2 linked regions of the Mus musculus genome follow. The protein of the gene in region 1 interacts with the protein of each later gene in a pairwise test. Links are inferred from orthologs where the notes say so. Each region holds a gene or a part of one and is shown on either strand. Other genes may lie near its edges.

The links.
Region 2: the proteins of Cdk1 (region 1) and Cdkn3 interact in a two-hybrid assay, tested with the Homo sapiens proteins (2 studies listed by BioGRID and IntAct). The link is inferred for Mus musculus from reciprocal best matches to the Homo sapiens genes CDK1 and CDKN3.

Annotation. Positions count from the first base shown.
Region 1 is NC_000076.6:69,345,540-69,356,983, reverse strand, and holds the start of Cdk1 (cyclin-dependent kinase 1), read left to right. Parts: upstream 1-4,071; 5' UTR 4,072-4,148; intron 4,149-6,825; 5' UTR 6,826-6,851; coding exon 6,852-6,888; intron 6,889-10,752; coding exon 10,753-10,909; intron 10,910-11,444. UniProt on the Homo sapiens protein: Plays a key role in the control of the eukaryotic cell cycle by modulating the centrosome cycle as well as mitotic onset; promotes G2-M transition via association with multiple interphase cyclins.
Region 2 is NC_000080.6:46,764,101-46,774,927, reverse strand, and holds the end of Cdkn3 (cyclin-dependent kinase inhibitor 3), read right to left. Parts: intron 10,405-10,827; coding exon 10,349-10,404; intron 9,933-10,348; coding exon 9,888-9,932; intron 7,753-9,887; coding exon 7,530-7,752; intron 6,063-7,529; coding exon 6,031-6,062; intron 5,096-6,030; coding exon 4,992-5,095; intron 3,528-4,991; coding exon 3,441-3,527; 3' UTR 3,407-3,440; downstream 1-3,406. UniProt on the Homo sapiens protein: May play a role in cell cycle regulation. Dual specificity CC phosphatase active toward substrates containing either phosphotyrosine or phosphoserine residues. Dephosphorylates CDK2 at 'Thr-160' in a cyclin-dependent manner.

The sequences.
Region 1 (11,444 bases):
GGAACACAGGACAGGAACTAACACAGGGCAGGAACTTGGAGGCAGGAGCTGATGCAGAGGCCATGGAGGGATGTTACTTACTGGCTTGCTTCCCCTGGCTTGCTCAGCTTGCTTTCTTTTGTTTTTTGGTTTTTTTTTTGGTAAAGATTTATTTATTATTATACATAAGTACACTGTAGCTGACTTCAGACACACCAGAAGAGGGCGTCAGATCTCATTACAGATGGTTGTAAGCCACCATGTGGTTGCCGGGATTTGAACTCAGGACCTTCGGTAGAGCAGTCGGTACTCTTCCCCACTGAGCCATCTCTCCAGCCCTCAGCTTGCTTTCTTATAGGATCCAGGATCACCAGCCCGGGGATGGCACCACCCACAATGGGCCTTCCCATTCTTGATCACTAAGTGAGAAATGCCTTACAGCTGGATCTCATGGAGGCGTTTCCTCAAGGAAGGCTCCTTTCTCTGTGATATCTCCAGCTTGCGTCAAGTTGACACAAAACCAGGTAGTAGAGGGAACCTCAAGATAATACCTTTATAATATCCGACTATAGGGCATTTTCTTAATTAGTTAAGGATGTAGGAGGGCTCGGACCATTGTGGGTGGTGCTCTCCTGGGACAGGTGCTCCTCTAAGAAAGCTGGCTAAGCAAAGCCATGGAGGGCAAGCCAATAAGCAGCACCCCTCCATGGCCTCTGTAACAGCTCCAGGCTCCTGCCCTGTTTGAGATCCTATCCCGATTTCCTTCTATAATGGACTATGATGTAGAAATATAAGCCAAATAAGCCCTTTCATCTCCAACTTGCTTTCGGTCATACGTGTTTCATCATAGCAATAGAATGCCTAACTAAGACACTTATTAATTTTTGAAATAAAGAGTTTTATTTTATGAGGACTTGTCTTCCCAATGCCCCACAGAATTTCATTTGTTTCTTTTAACTTTAGATGTGTCAGTGCTTTGCCTGTAAGTACATTGGGGTGTCATGTCATTCCTGGCTTCCTAGAGGGTCAGAAAAGGACATTGGTTCTCCAGGAACTGGGGTGACTAATGGTTTGAAGTCTCTATATTGGTGCTGGGAATCAAACCTGGCTCACCTGAAAGAGCAATAAACGCTCTTAGCTATTGAATCATCTCTCCAGCTCCCAGTATTGTGTTTTTAAATGAACATGATATTACTCAGCTACAAACCCTGTGACCTACAACAGTAACCTGTCTATAAGACACAGTGGCACAAGAGTGACACATGTTATGGAAGTAACTACATTGTGATAGGACGGAAGGCCCACTTCATGAGATGGATCTCTTATCTGACACTGTGAAAGTGACCAAGGACCTAAGACTAGGTAAGTTATGGACCTAGGGGGAAACCAAATACTATTATCCTGCTAAAGGAACATAGCAATAAAATGACTGCTAATAGCATACTTCTATACACATAGATAAGTGCCTAGCTCAACCCACATCAGAAAAGCTTCTTGCACAGAATGGGGAGATGGAGTTAACACAGAGACTCACAATTGGACAATGTGGCCATAGTGAGAGACTTTGGAGCACCCAGTCCTAAATGAGATGTGTTCATCAGCCCCCATAGCCTCAAGGCTCACAGATCTATACGGAAGAGGAGGCAAAAAGATTGTAAGAGTCAGAGGAGATGGATGACTCTAAGGAAACCATGTCTTTGAGACTCACTTGGACTCACAGAGACTGTGGAAGCACACGCAAGACCTGCATAGGGTCAAGCCAAATAGAGACCCATCACGGAGTGGGGGAAGCAGACATGGGCTCCCATGCGATAAGCTAGTTTATTCTTCATTCTGATGCAGGTCTTCTAGCCTGTATTAGTCTTGTCTAAGAGGATATGATGTGCCTTCCTCCTCCTATGAAGTCCAGGCAAAGACAGCTGCCATCCTAGACTGCCCCTCATTATCCTCAGCTCTGTCATGCTGCTTCACTTTTTTTTTTATTAAAAAGGGTTTATTTTAATTATGTGTGTATGTCTGTGTGTGTGCACATGTGTGTGTGTGTTGTGTGCATTCGAGTACCTATGCAAACCTATGGAGATGAGAAGACAGAGTGGACTCCCTCAGAGCTGGGGTTACAGGCATTTACAAGGATGCTGGGTTTGTTTTGTTGGTGGAGGGATCTGAACTCCCATCTTCATGATTGTGCGCAAATGCTCTTAATGGCTGAGCCATCTCTCTGGTCCCACACCACACTGCTTCATTTTCTTGAGGAGTTGAGAATCTTTTCAAAGTGGAGCACAGCCTCTTTGAAGGATGTGGTCTGAGGGTGGTGGCAAGATAGAGCTTTTGGTGTTGACTTAGAGCCGATAAAACAGATGACATTTTGTTTGTTCATAGATTTGTGAAGGTTTGATTTCTAAGGAATATTTAACATTTAAAAAAAAGATTTATCTATTTGGTATACAGTATTCTACACACATGTATGCCTGCACACAAGAAGAGGGCAGCAGATCTCATTATAGATGGTTATAAGCCATCATGTGGTTGCTGGGAATTGAACTCAGGACCTCTAGGAAGAGCAGACAGTGCTCTTAACCTCTGAGCCATCTCTTCAGCCCAATATTTAACATTCTTATGTGGAGATATGTCAAAACATTTAGTGTGTTATCATTGTATACATAATGAATACATAAGTGTATAATCACAGAAACAGGCTGGCATTTTTTCTTTTCAGTTTTGAGGGTGTCTTTCAGTGTTTCATTGGTTCCTATCCTCTTGTCTTCTTAAGGTACTTTAAATGTGATCCTTCTGCTGGCTGCTAAAAACTCATTGAAAAAAACATAATCTGCAGGAACACGGGAGAGCTGGAAAATACATCAAGTTACCTGACACAGACATAGAGAGACAGACACTTCATGTTCTTTCTCATAGGCGGATCCTAGCATGTAATGTTCATATGTTAGTGTGTATATAAGGTTCCAACTAGAAAGGAAAGGCTGCCCGAGTGGGGGGGGGGATTAGAGTCATGGACATGGTGATAGGACACAGAGGGCTATGGGCTTGGGGGCGTGCAGTTACGAGGTGCGGGGACTAGGGTTACTGGGAGAAGGGATGAGAAGAATTAACACAGACCAATATTGTCTGAAAATTCCATAGTGAAACTTAATATTATATATATACATATATTAAAGGTGTGTGCCACAATCCTCAGATATATATATATATATATATGTATATATATATATACACACACATATATACACACACACACACATATATATACACACATACATATGTAAACTAATATATTATATATTAATATTATATATTATTTATATTATCCCAGCTTAATATAGAATTTTGAAAGGCATAATCATAAAGTAATTTTAAATGTTAGCAATAGCCAGGTGGTGGTGGCAGCACACGCCTTTAACCCCAGTACTCTGGAGGCAGAGGCAGGAGGATCTCTGTGAGTTCAAGGCCAGCCTGGTCTACAGAGCAAGTTCTAGGTCAGTCAAAATTACACCCAGAAACCTTGTCTCAAAACAAAACAAAATAAAAGTAAGAAACTCTTTTTTTTTTTTTTTTTTTTTTTTGGTTTTTCGAGACAGGGTTTCTCTGTATGTGTAGCCCTGGCTGTCCTGGAACTCACTCTGTAGACCAGGCTGGCCTCGAACTCAGAAATTTGCCCTGCCTTTGCCTCCCGAAAGCTGAGACTAAAGGTGTGTGCTACCACGCCCAGCTAATAACAAGCTCTTGATGTAGTGGTACTGTCACTTTGGTGGCTGGCTATCTAAATTCAATGCATTTGAATTGTGTTAGTCTTGGAGGGAAATTACACACAGAAAGGTAGCTGGAGAAAAAAGAGAATAGATTAGACTGTCCAGAAACAACAGGACGATATTGGAAGGAAAACAGAGCTCAAGAGTCAGTTGGCGCCCGCCCTCCTGCAATTCCTCTGGCCGCGGTTTCCGCTCCCTTTCGCGCTCTGCGCTCCCAGGCAGCCCCGCCCAAGCGTAGCTCAGCTCTGATTGGCTCCTTTGAACGTCTACGTGCAATCGGATTGGCGGATCCCGGGAGCTTTACCGCGGCGAGTTTGAAACTGCTGGCACTCGGCCTCTAAGCTCCTGGAGTTGCTGCGTCCGCGCAGTCCGGAACTGCGGTGTGGCCCCAGCCGGGACAGAGAGGTATGGCGTGAGTCGGACTGGGTGCAGGCTGGGCCTGCGGGGGCTCCACGGGATCTGGGGGTTCCCCCGGGGAAGGGCAGGACATCCATGTGAGCCTGGGGATCCCTTGTGGACGGGTAGGGCCTCCACGTGAGATCTTGGTCTCCTGTGGACGGGTAGGGCCTCACCTAAGTCCGGGATCCCTTATGGTCGGGCATGGCCTCCCTGAGCCCGGGGTCTGGGGTACCCTATGGATGAGCATGTCCTCATCTGAGGCCAGGGTCCCCTATGCAGGAGCATGGCCTACCTGAGCCTGGGGACACTATGGAGGAGCAGGGCTCACCGGAGCCTGGGATCCCTATGGGGGGGGGGGGCAGGGCTCACCCGATCCAGCGGTCCCTTATGGAAGGGCAAGGCTCACTTGAGCCCCGGGTCCTGCGGACGTGCAGGCCCCTACGCGAGCTCCAGGTTCCTGCAGACTGGATGGGCCTCGCTGGAGTGGGCCCGGGTGTGGGCGGGGTGCCAAGTTATGTCCCAGGCCCTGTTGGCTGCCAGTGTGGAGCTGGGCTGCACCAGGCCAGCTGCCTTCGGAGGCCTTAAGTCGGTACTGCCGGAGAAACAGACCCGTGGTCGTTTAAAAAGCTTATTCCTACCAAGGTGCAGAACCAAGAAAGTGTAGGATCGTTTATTTTTAGTTGCCTGTGCTAAGGCCACAGACTGTACCCAGGCAAAGAAGGAGAGAGAGGGAGAACCGCGGATGCCTTCGCGTCCTTGATCGTCTTAAAACATAAATACCGATGAAGGTTCTGATGTGCGGGCCACCATCGCCTGCCCCCAACTTGGATACACTGGGCAGCTTTTAACAGCAGGCCCGGGAGACTGGAAAATGTTGGAAGGAAATAAGCCCAGCTTTCAAGACATGTTAACTCTTTGCTGTCTGTGCAGAGGTGGTTGAAACGTTTAATGCTCTATAGTTATATTAAGTCTCTGTATTGAAGAAAGGGGGTTGGGGGGGGATGCGTTGAAATTTCCTAAACATAATCTCCATAGTTGAGAGTCAATCTTATGTGTCTGAGAATCCCCAGGGTTCAGTGGGATGCCTGGCAGGACCCTTGGACGGGTTTACATTTTCCTTCTGAATTTTTATCTGTTGAGCCGCTGCCTCCTTGTGCAGTGCCAAGAGCTGGGATTCCTGGCTGTGCCCCCACACCCCATGGAGTTGATTTTACTGTGGAAAGAGATCTGTAAGGAACAGCTCACGAGAGGTCAGCCATTCCTTGATGCTCATTCATAAGGATCTTGTCACCCGTGGCAGAGGGCTTTCAAGGAGAAGGCACACCTTTTTCCTACCATTCTTTGTGAGCCAAGAAATTGTTTCTCCCTTGTTCGTGATATTTTTCAAAGCATGATTAGCAAACACACTGTCTTAGCGTTGTTGGGATGAAACACCATGACCAAAGCAAAGGAACTTGGGAAGGAAAGGGTTTAGTTGTCTTGTACTTCCACGTCACAGTTCGGCCTCAGAGGAAGTCTGGACAGGAACCTGGAGGCAGGAGGCCATGGAGGGGGCTGCTTCCTGCCTTCTTTCACATAGCTTGCTCAGCCTGCTTTAAGAACACAGGACCCTATATGCCCACGGATGACCCCACCCACAACGGGCTGAGCCCGCCCCCATCAATCTCTAATTAAGAAACTGACCTAAAGACTTGCCTCCAGCCCCATCCTATGGGAGCATTTTCTTAACTGAGGTTCTCTCCTCTCAAGATGACTTCAGCTTGTGACAATGTGACCTGGCCTAAAGCTAGCCAGCACAGCACAACACCTTCCATTCTTTCTTCTAAGGTGCTTATGGACATTTCTTTCTCTTTGAGTACCTTGAGTGGGATTGTCTGTGGCTGCTTTTGGGAAGCATTCAATTGAATGATTTTTGTTTTTTGTTTATTTCCCCCGAGACAGGGTTTCTCTGTGTAGCCCTGGCTGTCCTGGAACTCACTTTGTAGACCTCGAACTCAGAAATCCGCCTGCCTCTGCCTCCCAAGTGCTGGGATTAATGGCATGTGCCACCACTGCCTGGAGAATTGAATGCTTATAAGGTAAACAGATGCTTTTATTAAAAACAACAACAACAACTGTTATTCCTAGTGGTTGGACTTTACAGTTGTACTTTGTTTCCTTTTGAAACAGTGTTGCAGCGAACGAGGCCACAGGTTGGCCTTGAACTTGTTCTTCCCTGTGCTAGGATTACATCGTGCACAACTTCCTTCTCGCAGACTCTTATTATTTTAAGAAAAACTAAAACAGTACACCATTTTAGTACGGTAGTAGTGTGCTGAAATTCAGCCCTGGGGATCAGGGCCTTTTGCTTTTTTTGGTAAATTTTGAGACATAGTGTCACTAAGTTGCTTTAGCTAGCTGTGTATCAGTCTCCACAGTGGCCGGCTTGACAGGCCTGCTTGCTTTGTGCATGTGAAGGGGCTAAGCCCTTGGCTGTGTAGAATATACAAACGCAGTGTCTGAGAAGGCTCAGAATGGCTCACTTGCAAGAACAGCTAAACCCTAACAAGACCATCTGACCATCTGGGATGACTGACGTTTGCCGGCTACGCGGGAGGCCCTGGAAAAGATGTCTTCCAGATGATGCTTAGACTGTTTTTGAGTTAGTAGCACGGAATCACAGCACTGTTTCCCCTCATTTTAGGGTCCGTCGTAACCTGTTGAGTAACTATGGAAGACTATATCAAAATAGAGAAAATTGGAGAAGGTAAGTGGTTTTAGCAGAATGTTTTTTGAAAAGAAGATAACAATGCTACTGTGGAACACAGAAACCTTTACTGAGTGCAGTCGTAGATGCATCTGTACGCGTGCGCATGAGTGTGCTGTGAGAGTTGGTGTTTGTGGCCTCCTAGACAGGATCTGGGATCACTCTGAGCACACCTGTAGGGGATTGTCTTTGACTCTATTAATTGACGTGGGCAGGAACCTCCCCCAGTGTGGGTGCCTTCCTTGCCTGAGATCCTGGACTGTGTGACTGGAGAAGGGTGTCAAGCCACAGTGAACCTCACTCTCCCACTGCCTGTGCTCTTGCTGCTGCTGCTGCTGGACTCTAACCCCGATCCTGAGTGCAAACAAACCCTTCCTTGGGCTACTTTTGTCTGGGTGTTTCTCACAGCACCAGCAAAAGGAAGGCACGCAGCTGGGCGTGGTGGCACACACCTTTAATCCCAGCACTTGGGAGGCAGAGGCAGGCGGATTTCTGAGTTCGAGGCCAGCCTGGTCTACAAAGTTCCAGGATAGCCAGGGCTATACAGAGAAACCCTGTCTCGAAAAACAGAAAAGAAAAAAAAAAGAAAGCATGCTTTACGGATAACCTGAAGCACAAGGTGCTTCTCCATCAGGAGGGTTTTAGTTATCCTGATTCTTGCTAAGGACCCTAGGGCCTTGTGCTCTAGGCTATTGAACTGAGTACCCCAGATGCTTGTGTTTGGGGTGCAGGTGTGCTGGGGGAGTCGACTAGGGAGATAATCTATGCTAACTTCACAGTACATTTTAGTCTTTCTAAGTACTGGTTCTGAGTTTTATGTAAGCTGGGTGGTGGTCTGTGTGGTCACCGTGGGCAAGAATGACTAGTGGCTGTCACATGGTGTTCAGTCCCCTTCTGTAGTATTTTAAACAGTGCTGAGGCCTATGGGACATAAGGAGGAATGAAAAGAACCCTTTCCTAGTCCTCTCTATTGTTGTTTTCTTCTCCCCGCAACAGAATTTCCATATTTCTATGTAGGAGTCAAGACTTCATTCTTAGCTCTCCAGGAGCAAACAGAGGAACTTGTTTCTGTGTGGCTTCTGTTGAGGGTTGTTTTCACCAATGTTTAGAGACCCTGCTTACACAGGGCATGAAAACCAAGGCAGGGGACTTAGCAAACCAGGAATGGCCCTGGCAGTGTCTGGTGCGCCTCTGGGGCTTTCTCTTTTTAATGTGACAACATCTCTTCAACTGTCTCCTTCCTTGGTAACACCTTCCCCTCGCCAGTGACATCCACTGCCACTCACCGGTCCAGTTGGGCCATTCCCCCTTTTTGATGACCTTAGATAGGACTTTCTGAAGCCATCCCCTCCTGGGCTCACTCTTTAACTTGTTCTAGAGCAGTGGTTCTCAGCCTTCCTAACACCACAACCCTTTAATACAGTTCCTCCTGTCGTGGTTACTCCCCAGCCATTAAATTAGTTTTGTTGCTTCTTCATAACAATTTTACTACTCTTATGAGTCATAACATAAGTATCTGATATGCAGAATATCTGATAATGTGTGCCTCTCCAAAGAGCTATCGACCCACAGGTTGAGAACCAATGTTGTAGTTGAAGGATTTATTCATTTTCTTCCAGGCAGCCTCGGTATTCCCAGTTTGCTCTGGGCCTCGGGCACCTCTCACAGCTTTTCAGCTGTGACCTTTGACCTGCTTTTCTGAATTCTCTGGCCTAGAGGCTTGTCTGCTACATTGTGCCTGGCTGTTCTGGATTCTCTGGGGGGGGATCCTGAATAGCGGCTTGTTGAAATAATTTGAAAATTACATACTGCTGTCGACGTTTTCTTCTGCCAATTCCAAGTACTCAGTGAAACCTGCGAATATGTGTTTGTCCCGTGTTAGCATTTTCTTACGTAGTCACCTGTGTATTGTTGGTCGCCATGCCCAGCAGGACAGAGAAGACTGTCTCGTCTTCAGGTTACACAGCTGCCTGGCTCCATGTGGTTGGTGGGGCCTTCCTTGGCATTCAGTAAGCACGCTAGAAACATTTGTTTTTGATGAGGTTTAATGGCTTTTACCAGGCAGTGTTATCAAGACTTTACCCAGGATAACTGGGATCTTACTCTTGCTTTCACTTGTATGACATTTGCTAAAATTCAGAGTGTGTGTGTGTGTATGTATGTATGTATGTATGTGTATGTTTGTGCGCGCTCATTCACACAGGTGTGCATAGCCCATGGAGGCCAGAAGTGTTACCTCCTCTGGCATTGCATTTACAGGAGGCTGAGCCCTGGTGTGGGTCCTGGTCCTCTGCAAGGACAGTGTGGTCTAAACCCCGAGCCTCCCCAGCCTTACCTGATACTTTCCCCTCCTCAATTATTACTTAAAATACTTCAGGATCTAAAACAAATGTTTAATTTCAGAACATCTACTGTTTAGCTTATGAATAGTGCCCTGTTGCAGTTAACTGAGAAGAGCCAGGAGTTGAGATACTCAGAACAAGCAGTTCTGTGTTGTCTCCGAATCAACGGTTACTGGGTGTTGACTGCCATTCCTGAGTTCGTTCTGCACATTTGTCAAGAAATGCAGCAGGACACCGGGAGGGAACAAGATGCCAGAAAGAATCCTGGATTGACCATTGCTTACCTGACTAACTGTGACTGCTAGGATAGTGCCAGCTTGCTCGTGGCTTCAGACAAGCATGATATCCACCATTCAGGAACATGTGAGCTCACAGATTTCCTGTGGCTTCGCAGACAGAATGTTGTCGGTTCTTTTTATCTGGAATAACTTGATTATTTAATCCCCTAGGATTTTATTGGAAGTAATATTAAAATAACTGTAGTGTTTAGGAAAACAAACAGTCCTGGAATTTAAAGAATGCTGGAATAAAGCTTATGTGGGCAGCAAGCTGCTTAATTTTCTAAGCAGTTGATTGCTGGGATGGAGTCTTAGAGCCAGTAAATGCTGTGGAGTAGCTTTTACGTTTGGAGGAAGCTGCTCTCACCCTTTGGTGCTTTTAGACAAGTTCTAACCTTGCCTCAGCTTTTCCCCAGGGATAGGATTACAGGCATGTAAACGTGGGGACCTTTGACTTCCAAGACGGGGGTCTTACTAAGTTCTCCACGCTTGTCTCCAACTTGTAATTCTCCTGCCTCAGTCTTACAAGCAGCTGTGTGTCACCAGGCCTGCTGTTGTAGTCATTGCTGAAGCTATACCATACCATGAAAAGCTTTTCAACAAAGTTCATAGATAGCTAGGGAATCCGCACCTGAAGAGTAGCAGGGGTGTGAGACACCTAATTAGCGTACCTCTCTGTGTCTGCCACAGCCCATGCTGTCCTTTCTTCCTGCCTTTGCTGGTCAAGTGACTTCACCCAGGTTAGTGTTTCCCACATCCCAGTGGGTAGACCCACTCTAGTACAAGATAGCAGCTTTATTGGGTTTAATACAAATGCATGGTGCTTCTGTCTCCACTCTGCCGGGTGAGGACAGGTGGTTGTGTTTTGAGATGTGTAAGGTATCAAGGAAGTCCTAAGGCAGTCCAGTTTTTTGGAAGTTTCACAGTGCCTCCTCTTGGTACTGATTTCCAATCTTAAGTTTTTAATGTAGCGACTACATGCAGGATATTTGATAGGTGAATTTCAACCTGATCCATGTCCTAATGTTCACGTGAAGGAAGCTTAACTGGGAGGGAGATGTAGGATGACTCAGTGGGCTTTATTTCCAAACCATGTATATGTTAGATCGTAGTTATCTTCAATGCCTTTTTGAAAGCAGTGAGGGTTTAATGATGTGAGGGGCCTATCTGACTGCAGCTGGCATTTCTCTCGTGTGATACTCAAAGAGTTCAACTTAGAAGAAAATCTCTTTGCTTTCTTTCAGGTACTTACGGTGTGGTGTATAAGGGTAGACACAGAGTCACTGGCCAGATAGTGGCCATGAAGAAGATCAGACTTGAAAGCGAGGAAGAAGGAGTGCCCAGTACTGCAATTCGGGAAATCTCTCTATTAAAAGAACTTCGACATCCAAATATAGTCAGGTGTGCTGTGTTAGAACTGAAGCCACTCTCCCTGTGCTGCTGCACATCTGTTTTAAAGTAGAAATTTTTATGTACTTTCTGGTTCAAGTGGGATGGAGTCCTGCTTTGCTGATGGTGTTTGGAGAATTTGAGACAGGGTGCTAGAATTGGCTAGAGGAGCAAGGCACAGCCCTGGGACCCCTTCCATGGGGAGCTTGCTTAGCTCCTACTTTTAGGGCCCAGGTCCCCAGAGGCTCCTGAGACCAGGGGCCAGGCTGAGGTAGATAAGCTATGCTTTATTGACTTGCTTGGGCTGGGTCATTGAGGACGTTGTCTGGTGGTTCATTAGAATTTCTGTTGGTAGGAGGGACTGAACCCAGGCCTTTGGGTAGAGCTAAGAAAGTGCTCTACCACTGAGCTGTAGCCTCTGGCCTCCTAATATGGGGTTTTGAAATTATTAAGACAGGATATTACTCTAGCTCACCCAGGTTGGCCTGGAATTTACTGCTGTCCTCTAGCTCCCAAGTGCCGGGATTATGGGTTTAAACCACCGCAC
Region 2 (10,827 bases), on another chromosome or scaffold:
CGCCCCTCTTGTTCATCAGGACTACTGACCATGAGAGACCTGGCCAAGGTTAAAATGCAGAGATTTCCTGGGATTTCATATTACTGTTCTTGTCCAAGTGCTCTTTCAACAGACACCACTTTATAGCTTTTAAGAAACTTCCTCTTGTTTTGGATCTTCTTAATGATTACTTGAGACTAAAAAAAAAAAGCGCCCCCCCCTCCGCAAAATGAGGATTGTTAGAGAAGAGTGAGGTTCATTTACCGCTCGTGTCACTTGTAGGTTTTAGCATCCAGATGTGGTTGTGATTAGAAGGGTCAAGTGTTTGTGTGGTCTTACTTGCCTTCCCAGTGTTTTCTGGAAGTAGATTTCTTTTTCTTTTCTCTTTATTTTTATTTATTTTTGGTTTTTCGAGACAGGATTTCTCTCTGTAGCCTTGGCTGTCTTGGAACTCACTTTGTAGACCAGGCTGGCCTTGAACTCAGAAATCCGCCTGCCTCTGCCTCCCGAGTGCTAGGATTAAAGGCGCTTGCCACCATGCCTGGCTTCTTTTCTTTTTTTTAAAGACAGTGTTTCTTTGTGTAGCCCTGGCTACCAGGCTGGCCTCAAACTCTGAGATCTGCCTGCCTCTGCCTTCAAGACGAGCTCCACCATTGGCTGGCATGTGTTCTTTTTAATAGCGGTCCTAGACTATAATTACTGGTGAGCAACTTACGATCTCTTCCTGTGTATCTCTTCCTGCAGGGTAAGCTCACAATGTAGGTGTGACTGTAGCATTTTATCCAGCCCATTCAAATGCTCCAACCTGAAAGGATTTACCTCAGATTATTTGTCATTTCATATATACAGATGTACAACTCAATAATCAAGTCAGTTGCAAGCCAGAAATTTACATAAGAAAAAATATTTTTTCGGGGAAAGGAAATTATTGCTGTGCTGAGTAGCCTTGTTCATGAATGTTCATCCTCACTGGAATAATCTAGTACTGTTAGTCTCAAGTGACCATAAGCTCTGTTACTCAAACCAATTGATTTGCAACCAGACCAGCAGTTAAGTATCTCTTAGTAGTGTAACGTAGTACATGATTTTGAACAGCCTCCCAGAGTGATGCCTACAGAGAAAGATGTTCTGTGGCTGGATTTGTTGACTGTATTTCTCATAGCCATTTACTTTGACTAAAATACAGGTGTCTCCACCTAGTACCTGAAAGGAATGTATATAACAGCTTTTATTCCATTTACTTTGCAAAGTATTAGCCACAAGGCAGTGGGTCTGAGGTAGTGCGAGGGTTTTGTTCTACGTTCACTTTCTTGATACACATTGTAGAAGACATGCAGAAGAATGGCTGTCTCCCAGATGTCAGTGCCACTCACTGTACAGATGTGTTTGATTATTATGCTCATGTATTCTGGCAATGAGAGTTTCTTAAATGGATCGATGACTGAGTAGATGCTAAAACTTAGAAAAACACGGAAAATCGTGAAATATAGTTAGCTGTGTAGTGCATGGTTTGTTAAAATCTAAGCTTGTCAGTGCTATACTACTGTCCAAAGAACACTCTCTACTTAGCCCTGTCCTACTCCTGAGAGCTTCCTCCTTTTGCTTTTGCCTATTTAATAAAATCTGCCTCAGGCACTCCCTGTGTAATTGATGGGTGGTGGTTGAGTCTGTGCCAATTTCAAATGCAGCTAACATTGGCGTGCACAAGACCAGGTCCCTGTATTGTCTGCCTTCTCTGCCTGCACTGCTTTCAGGACATCATAGTCTGGGCAGAAAAAATACTTTCCTTAGAATGTTTGCATTGCAAGTCTTTAAAGTTCAGTACACAAGTGTGTTTCAGGACTAATAACGTATTTCCCTTTGCTGATAATTAAAGGTTTTCCTGTATGCTTGATTTTAAAATTTTAGTCAAGCATTTTGACTGTAGCAGATTAACAAGACACTTGCAGTGGGAACGGAGAGGTGCATACTCTGAAAATCCAGTTGCAGATGAAATGTTTCCTCCATAAGTACTCATAAGTGTTATACTGGATGGGAGTGACCGGGATTTGCTGGTGTGGAGGGAGTCCAGTTGGGTAGAGTTAGCATGAGAGCCTGTATTTGGTCCTTATACCCACATAAAAGTCTGATGTGTATTTGTAGTCCCAGTGCTGGGGACTTGGAGACAGGAGGGTCCTGCGGCTCCTGGACAGTCTACCCTACTTGGTAAGCTCCAGCAAATGAGAGACCCTATCTCAAAAAGCACAGTGGACAGGTCTTGAGGAACCTCTGATTTCCATATATATCCATACACATGCCCACATAGAGATTTGCTAGTGCCAGTTTCAGTGACTATCTAAAACGTCGTAAGTACTGTGATTTTAAAATTGATTGGAATAGCAGAATTGTGAAGGCCAGTCTATAATTGTAGCCTGTACTAAAACAAAGCCTCAAACATTTGAGATTGATTTGAGTCCCTGGCTTAAACATTAGATACTAGTGGTGTGTGATTCTCCCATCTTTCTTAGTATTCTCATAAGAATCTTCTAGAAGCTGGCAAGGCATGGTGACATATGCCTTTAATCTTGGCACTTGGGAGGCAGAGGCAGGTGGATTTCTGTGAGTTCAAGACTAACTTGGTCTATGTAGTAAGAGCCTATCTTTTGGTGGTGCGTTGTGCTGGTGCTCTGGGAGGGAGATGACTCTAAAACTCACAGTCCCTTATAATTCTGTAAGTCAGTGAAGTAGAAAAAAATCAGATCTTCAGGGGAGAAGAGGGTAAGAGTTACTGAAAAGTAGGAAGCAGGGTCTGCTTGTGAGAAGGCTCAGTTGATAAAAGCACTGGCCAGCAAGCTCAATGACCTGAATTTAATCCTGGAGCCCGTGTGCTGAAAGTGGAGAGCTGACTCTAGCATGTTGTCCTCTGACCTCCGCATGAACTGTTGTGGTTGTGCCCACATAAGTATATACACATTAAAGTTAGATACGAGTGTGCTTACAGGAAGTTCTTTTCTTTTTTCTAGACAGTATTTGTCTGTGTAGCACTGTGGCTGTCCTGGAACTCAAGCTGTAGACCAGACTGGCCTTGAACTCAGAGATCCACCTGCCTTTCTGAGTTCTGGGACTAAAGGTGTATGCTAGCACTGCCCAACCAAACACTTGATTTTTATCACTATGTACGTGCCTAGTACTGATAGTCAAATGAGGCCGAAGTGTGGCAAACTGTGCCACCTCAGTATTCATCTTCCCTGGCACTGTCTCTAGGTAAGATGGAACAGCCAGTGTATGTCTAGCTGGACAACAGTGTACCAGGTCTGCTGCCCTCTGCTGTGATACAACACCGAATTCATGACTCAAGCATTAGGAGGATCTGTACAGAACACTTATGTTCACGATGGTGGCAGCACTCGCAGTGTGCTCCAATACAGACTATGCTGGAGAACTTGGAGACCCTAGATGTGCTCGTTTATTTGGGATCTTCATTATCTGGACACAGATCTTGATAGTGAATCTCTTGATGATAGATACGCAGCTAATTTATCCCGGAATTCATGAAGATAGTTATATTGCTGAAAAAGAGTAAAGATATGTTGAATATACCGCAGAAAAGTAGGATCAGTGTAGACTCCATACTTAGCTAAGAGCAAATGTTTCTGAACCTTTAATTGGACTTGGGAAGGGGAGGAGATGCTGGCTGCGGGAGGCGTGGGAGGGGCAGATTCTGTAGACTCCGTCCTTTGCTGCTGGGACTAAGATTCAAAGTGAATCTGCTGTCCAGTGTGGAAGGGCCTACCTTTCTGCTGGTGTTTTTCCCCCACTGAACACTGAGGAGGGCATTCTTTGTAACAACAATGACACAGTCTAAGAGTGACTGGTGCTTTTGATGACAGTCCATTTGGAATAATTTTCATAAAAAATTAAAAAAACAAACCACTATATAGATAAGCTAAGTACTTTAAGCAGTTTATTGAAGTTTAAATATCTTTCCAAAAGATAGCTCTGACAGCCATCATTCCTGATAATGAACTGTACTGCTAGCTTTCCTTGGGAGAGGTGGTGAGGGCCCCTTAGCCACAAAATACCTAGGTAATGGGCCCAACACCCATATTAGTGTGGCTTCCATTCTCGGTGACACGGAAGATGTGACACATGTATAATTCATACCTATCTGATTGGATTTTGTTTGAAAGAGGAACTTCCTAAATTTGAAGCATTTGATGTTAACAGAATAAAGGGAGCTCTAGTTTCAGAGCCTGTGTAGAGAAGTGCATCAGGTAAGGTTTATTTTGTGAGTGGCTATATTTAAACCTTGAGAGGCGGGTTGCTTGGCTGGTAAGGGTGAATGTATAGTAAGTCTTGGTACTTGAAGCTGGACTAGACCTCTAACCCCAGGGAGGCAGACTCAGAGTCAGGCAGCCAAGGGTGAGGGCTCCTGAGTACCACTCTGGTGACAACCTAAAGCTTAGACAGAGCACCTGGCACAGTAAGACATGAACTTTAGAGGCGTGCACAAGCAGTGTCATCAGTGGGCTTGGGTAACATGATTTGTCACAGCCTGTGGTACTGCTGCCCTGTTGCTCAAGTGTTTAGGAGAATGGAAGGTATCCAGTATCCATGGCAACGTACAATAAAGTATTGCTCTACTGTTTTGACAGCATTCATCAACATCTCAGCGGCACAGTAGGGTGTATAAATTGCTTGGGATACAACTCCACCCAAGAAAAATGTTTATAGTAGCCATTTCCTGGCTGAGTCTGAGCATCAGCATGGGTACTGACTGGGACAGAGGCTGAACAATCGCAGATCCCTAAGAGGGTAAAGTGCAGAATTTAATTGTAAGTAGAAAAGATAAACCTGTGTGTGTGTACACGTGTGTGTGTGTGTGTGTGTACACGTGTGTGTGTGTGTGTGTATACACGTGTGTGTGCATGTGCATCACAGCTTTGGAAATTGAGCTTATGGCTCTCTTACACCCATTGCATTGTATTTGAAAGAGGCCACCAATGCAGCAGACAGAACAGCCCAGTTCTTACCTTGATGGTCTGTATCGCCCCAGATCCTCTGACATCTCGAAGGCTGTCTATGGCTTGCTGTGGTGAGATTGAGTCAGACAAGTATAGGAGGAGACAAGCAGCTACTGAGAACATGACAGAAAAGAACGGACTATTAAGAAACTGGCTTGATTTTGTTGCAGACTTGATAGTCAGTTGGACTTCCGTTGCAGCAAACTCCATCCAGTGTGAGCACACGGACTGAAAGATAAAAGACTGAGGCCCTTTATCCTGCACTCCCGAAAGTTAGCCTCGTCTAGCCGCACAGCTGCTATAAGCAGTGGCCCACACATTTCTGTGTGAATGTGTGCTCTGTTTCTCCTGGGTCTGGAGCTAGGAGTGGAGTTTTGAGGCATGGTAACTCTGGAGCTGAGGAAAAGAAGAGCTTTGCAGAGCAGTTGCACTGTGCTGCATTCCCAGCAGCAGCAGCAGCAGCAGCAGCAGCAGCAACAGCAGCAGCAGCAGCAGCAGCAGCAGCAGCAGCAGCACAGGTTCCTGGTTCTAGGGCTGCTCACTGATTTTGCACACCACAGCCACCCTGCAGGCTGCCATTGTGGGGCATCGCTTTCCGTGCTGTCTGCCTGTGTATTTTGGGGACATGTTTCCTCAGATCCTTTGCTCACTATTTAAAATTGCCACGTTGGTCTATGTATACTGAGTTGTATATTCCCTTATCAAATACATGGTGTGCAATTTTTCTTTTCCTATTCTATATATGGCCTTTCATTTTGACAATGTTCTTTCTTTTACAAAGGTTGTTAATTTGGATCTTGTTTATACTGTTTTATAATAATTACTACAGTGAGGCATTTCTTGTTTTTTTTGTTTTGTTTTTTGGCAGCACTCTTTAAAATTAACAGACAGTAAATAACTATACTTCGTTGCTATTATTCCTTCTTTGTTTGGGTTTGGTAAACTTATATTGTGGTTTTTCTCTCCTCTCTATATAGCGTGAGGTAAGGTCCCCAAACAGGAGTTGCCTACTTTGAAGTTAAACAGTTAATGAAAATATATTTCTTACCAAGACAGGATCTTCCAAGTCCTCCGTAACAACTGAAAGGGAAAGAGAGTTTTGAAGTTTGTTTATTTTCGTTTTCTCCCAAGTTACAACTCAAGACTTACTCTCTCTGCCTTCTGTTTACCTCTCCAACTCTGGGTACAGCACCTTGCACTCAGATCAGCATTGCTGAGTTATCACCAGAAGCAGTACATGCTCATTCATGTTGTCAGGTGTTCTGAATTCCTCTAAGGGTCAAAGAGGGCCTTAGTGACTACTGAACCCCAAACCCTACATCTGAGAAGCGGAACAAGTAGGAATCAAGACTCTGTCCTTTTGGTAAAATCTGAGTAGTTCTGGAGCAAGTGCCAACATACAATCATCCTTCCTTCCCCTGATGCAAGCACAGAGGTAGTCACAAAGGACTGGGCTCGGGTCCTGACACTGGCCAAGGTCCTCGAGCTTGCTTTCTTTTATCTGTGAGATGGTGTTACTAATAGAACCTGTATCAGAGTGAGCGTTGCACGTGGCAGTGTTTATAAAGGGCTCAGAACACAGGCTGGAGAGAGAAACCTCTGAATGCTAGTGGAAATGGCCTACCACCAAACAGTTCTGCAAAACTACACCTTCCAGGAAAACAACGATCAAAGCTGGAAAACATTCCTTTAAATCACCTTCAAAGATCCTCAAAAGCATATTGTAGGGAAATAGGGAAAAGCCCAGCCGTCAGCCACCACTTAGGGGAGCCTGACGCGTTCTCCCAATCCAGGATCACCCATCCGCCGAGCTTTTCTGTTTAAGCATCAGGTAGGAAGTTTGGCTGCTGGAACCTGCTTGGGGTAGAATTTCCTGAGCCTTACTAAACTCAACTGCCTTGATATCTGCAAAGATACAAGTTGCTTTAGGATCTTTGAAAAACAAGTTTAGAATCTGTTTCAAAAAATGGGCCTAAACACTCTTATTTTTTAAATAGCTACATCTGATACTATTTTACATATACTTACAAAGAAATTATACACAGTTGTGTATTCTGAAATTTTGCCTTTGGGTTACCTCATGATGGGTATGCTGTTTTTTATGGGACTCTACCATGCAAGGCTTTTTCATGGGTGCTGGGGTCAGCCTCAGGCCCTCATACCTCAGTGGCAAGCACTTTGCCAACTGATGCTCTTAATAGCCCATTGAAGTCATATTTCAAAAGACCACTTACTGAATAGGGAATTTTTTTTTCTGTGAATTTTGAAAGACAAGCAAGTGACTTCCTTGCTACTGAAAAGGCTGAGATGACAAGTTAAGAGACACGACAGACCAGGAGCAATGCCACAGGAGGAAAGGAGAAATGTCTCTACTCTAAACACTCGCAGCTCTGCTTGTGGCCAGTAGTACCCTTGAAGTGTGGAAGCAGGAAGTTCATGAGTGCTTCCTTCCTCGGTCCCAGGCCTGTCGTGCTCTTCTCATGCATTGGCTTTGTCCTGACGGCAGAGGAGGGAGAGCTGCTGTGTGGTACCCAGGGAAGAACGTACTGTATCAGGGTTTTCCGGTTGTTTTTGAGGCAGGTGGCCAGCTCCTCCATGATTTCCCAGCAGCTGCCAATGTCGGGAGTCCCTCCATCTGGGATCGGATGATGATGGGTGACAATTCCATATTGTTGGTAGAGGTCCAGAAGGTTTGGGACTCTATATTTTGACAGCTCCCCTCTGGTGCAGAAAACAAACACGTCTTGGATCCCGTAGCTCTTTAGTTCTTCTGCCAACAGACCAAGACACACACAGACGCGTGCATAAAACAGGACACATTTAAATACGATCAAGAGAGAGAATAGGGAGTTATGTTCTTCAACCAAACTAGTAACAGGTGCAACTTTGTAAATGTGAAATACCTAATGAAAATACCTGGAACAAAAGCTGATTAGAACTAAACCAGATTGATTGGTGAGTAAAATGCTTTTAAGTGATTGGCTGATGTTATTGATATTTTTGCATAAAAACTTAGGTTTTTTTTCCCCCTTGCAATAAATACTGTCTTAACATTTAAACTCTTGAGAAGGAATAGATAGCATCATTTTTAAGTCTCTCCTAGCCCTATGAAATCAGTCATGTTGACACTCAGGCAAGCATCACATTATCTCTAGCCATAGCTCTTGTGTTCTTCCCCTGTTCTGTGCCGTGCCACACTAATGTGGATTTACTTCTGTTGACTAGGTCTCGAGAAAGTAAGACATTAGCTGCACTAACCTTATATGGTTTAGCTCTTTTCATCTTAATAGTGGGAACCAAGAAGTATTTTTATAAGATTTTATCCTGGAACTTAAAAAAAAAGACTTTCTTTTTTTTTAATATTTATTTATTTATTTATTTTATTATATGTAAGTACACTGTAGCTGTCTTCAGAGACTCCAGAAGAGGGCATCAGATTTCGTTATGGATGGTTGTGAGCCACCATGTGGTTGCTGGGATTTGAACTCAGGACCTTTGGAAGAGCAGTCAGTGCTCTTAACCCCTGAGCCATCTCTCCAGCCCAAGATTTTCCTTTTTTAACTGTGCATATAAATGTATGTCAGGATGGGGGTAAATGCACGTGTGTGCAGGTGCCTGTGGAGGCCAGAGGGCTTCGGATCTCTGGGATCTGGGGTTACAGGTAGTCCTAAGCTACCCGATGTGGGCTCTGGGAACTGAATACTGGTCATCTGCAAAAGCAGCACCCACTTTTAACCACTCTCTAGCTTCTGGACCTTCTTTACGGCACTATTCATTCTGGATTATTCATTTCAAAATAAATAATTCCCAGCCCCAACTGTCAACATTCATCTAGTCTAAGTACAAAGTTTTGTCAGTTGAAGTACACTTCATACACCTTGTTTTAACGGCAAAGAGAATAAAGATCAAAATGATTTTACTAATAATTTGCATGATTTTATATTTTCTCTCGTGTGGAGATATATATATGTGTGTGTGTATTATATATATATGATATTCCTAGTAATATATAATGTAATATAGATAATATATATGATAGGAAAGTAGAACAGAGATTATGTGGGGGAAGGAAAAGATCTAAAGAGAGAAGGAAGGTGGAAATGAAGGCAATGTGGCCTAAACATTGTATATTTTTACAATTGTAAAATAATTTTAACATGTAGTTAAGTTAGTAAAGCTTTCAGAAGAGGGAGTAATTTTCTATAATGTCTTCTGTCCGCTGTATGGTGGCTTTCAGGGACATTCTAGGTCTTCCTCACCAGGTATTTTGATCTGTTCTATATAATGGATTTTATGTGTGACTTCATTGTTTAAAAAAAAAAAAGTTAATGAAAAAACTAGAATCTTCTTTTTATAAAAGCTGCTAAATAAATAGGAAATTCTAAAATGTGTAATAGTAGTTCTGAACCAATGATTTAAATAGTATTGCTTATAACTTACATGTCCTCCAAATGAAACATGTAAGCTAACTACTATCGTTGTATGTGTACCAAATGCAGGACATATTTGTAAATTCCACAAGGGTCAATTCAAGGATTAGTCTCTTTTTGTCCTTTTTGTTTTTGCTATCCTCTGGCTGGCCTGAAGCTTGCTGTGGAGGCCAGGCTGGCCTTGAATACACAGATATCTGCCTGTCTCTTTGCTGGGGTCAAAGGCAGGTTTTCTATTTACATACTTTTCTCCCTCAAACAGACATAGTCTGCCATGTGTGTATAACTAGGACTGCGAAAAAGTTGTGTTCATGTAAATGATGACTCCTCGGCCTGTTACAGATACCTCTTCACATTCGAGAAGTTCACAGAGATGCCAAAAGAATTTATTTTATATATTGAGAAGAGAATACAGTTTGACAGATTTCAGGCTTAAAACAAGACTAGTAGTAGGCTTTTGTCACAGTGAACCTACCTGTATCTTTCTGAATATTTCTTCTAACATCTTTAAACTTACAACCTATAGATAAGGCAAGTAAAAAAACGAATCAGTTGTTTATAATCAGTTTTTTACAATCAGTTGTATAAGAAAGCATATTTGAACATATGTACATGCTACTGTAAAAAGTCATTTTACATGGCTATTCATGTTTCAATTCCATTTTAACTGTACATATTAATTTCTGACTCTTAGAAACATAGCTGTGGAGACTGGTAAATTTCACTAAAGGAGTCCAGGAGCAGGAGTTCCTGGCCATGGTCTTAACCTCATTTGTACCACTGAATTGGGAAAGTTAGAAATGTAGCCCTGGATGCAGAAGGTGTTCCTGAAGGCTTCTCTAAACAAGCTCACCGGTCTGTATGCACTGAGCCACCCGTCAGCTCACCAAGATCTGCCCTCATATTAGTAGGAAGCCATCGAGTGTTCTCACCTACCTGGAAGAGCACATAAACCGAGAAACTGGGAACAATTCACTCGCGACAGAGGTAGCCTGTGAAGGGAAATTTATCAAGCTTAGTTTTTAAAATTGTACAAATGGAAATTGAGCCTGCCCAACAAGAGCATCTGCCCCAGAGTAAGGAAGGCTGCATTAACATCTACAGCAGTCACAAAGCACCAGTCCATAGTTAGCGTGGGGATCAGGGAAGGCCTGCAGTGAGCAAAAGTACGGAAATGGGGACTGACCTACTTTAATGCCAAGTAAATCTAAAAGAGCAAGTTGAGAGTTTACCATGAAGGTAATGGTTCCTGAACACTCTACAGGTAGAGCCAGCAACCCTGTGGTATGATCCCAAAAGCTTAGGGCCAAATGCTTTTCAGTTTCAAGATGCTAGAAGGATTGCATAGACCTGACCAACTGAACATCCCAATTTGAATACCTAAAAGTCAAAATTCTCAAAATAAAAATATCTTC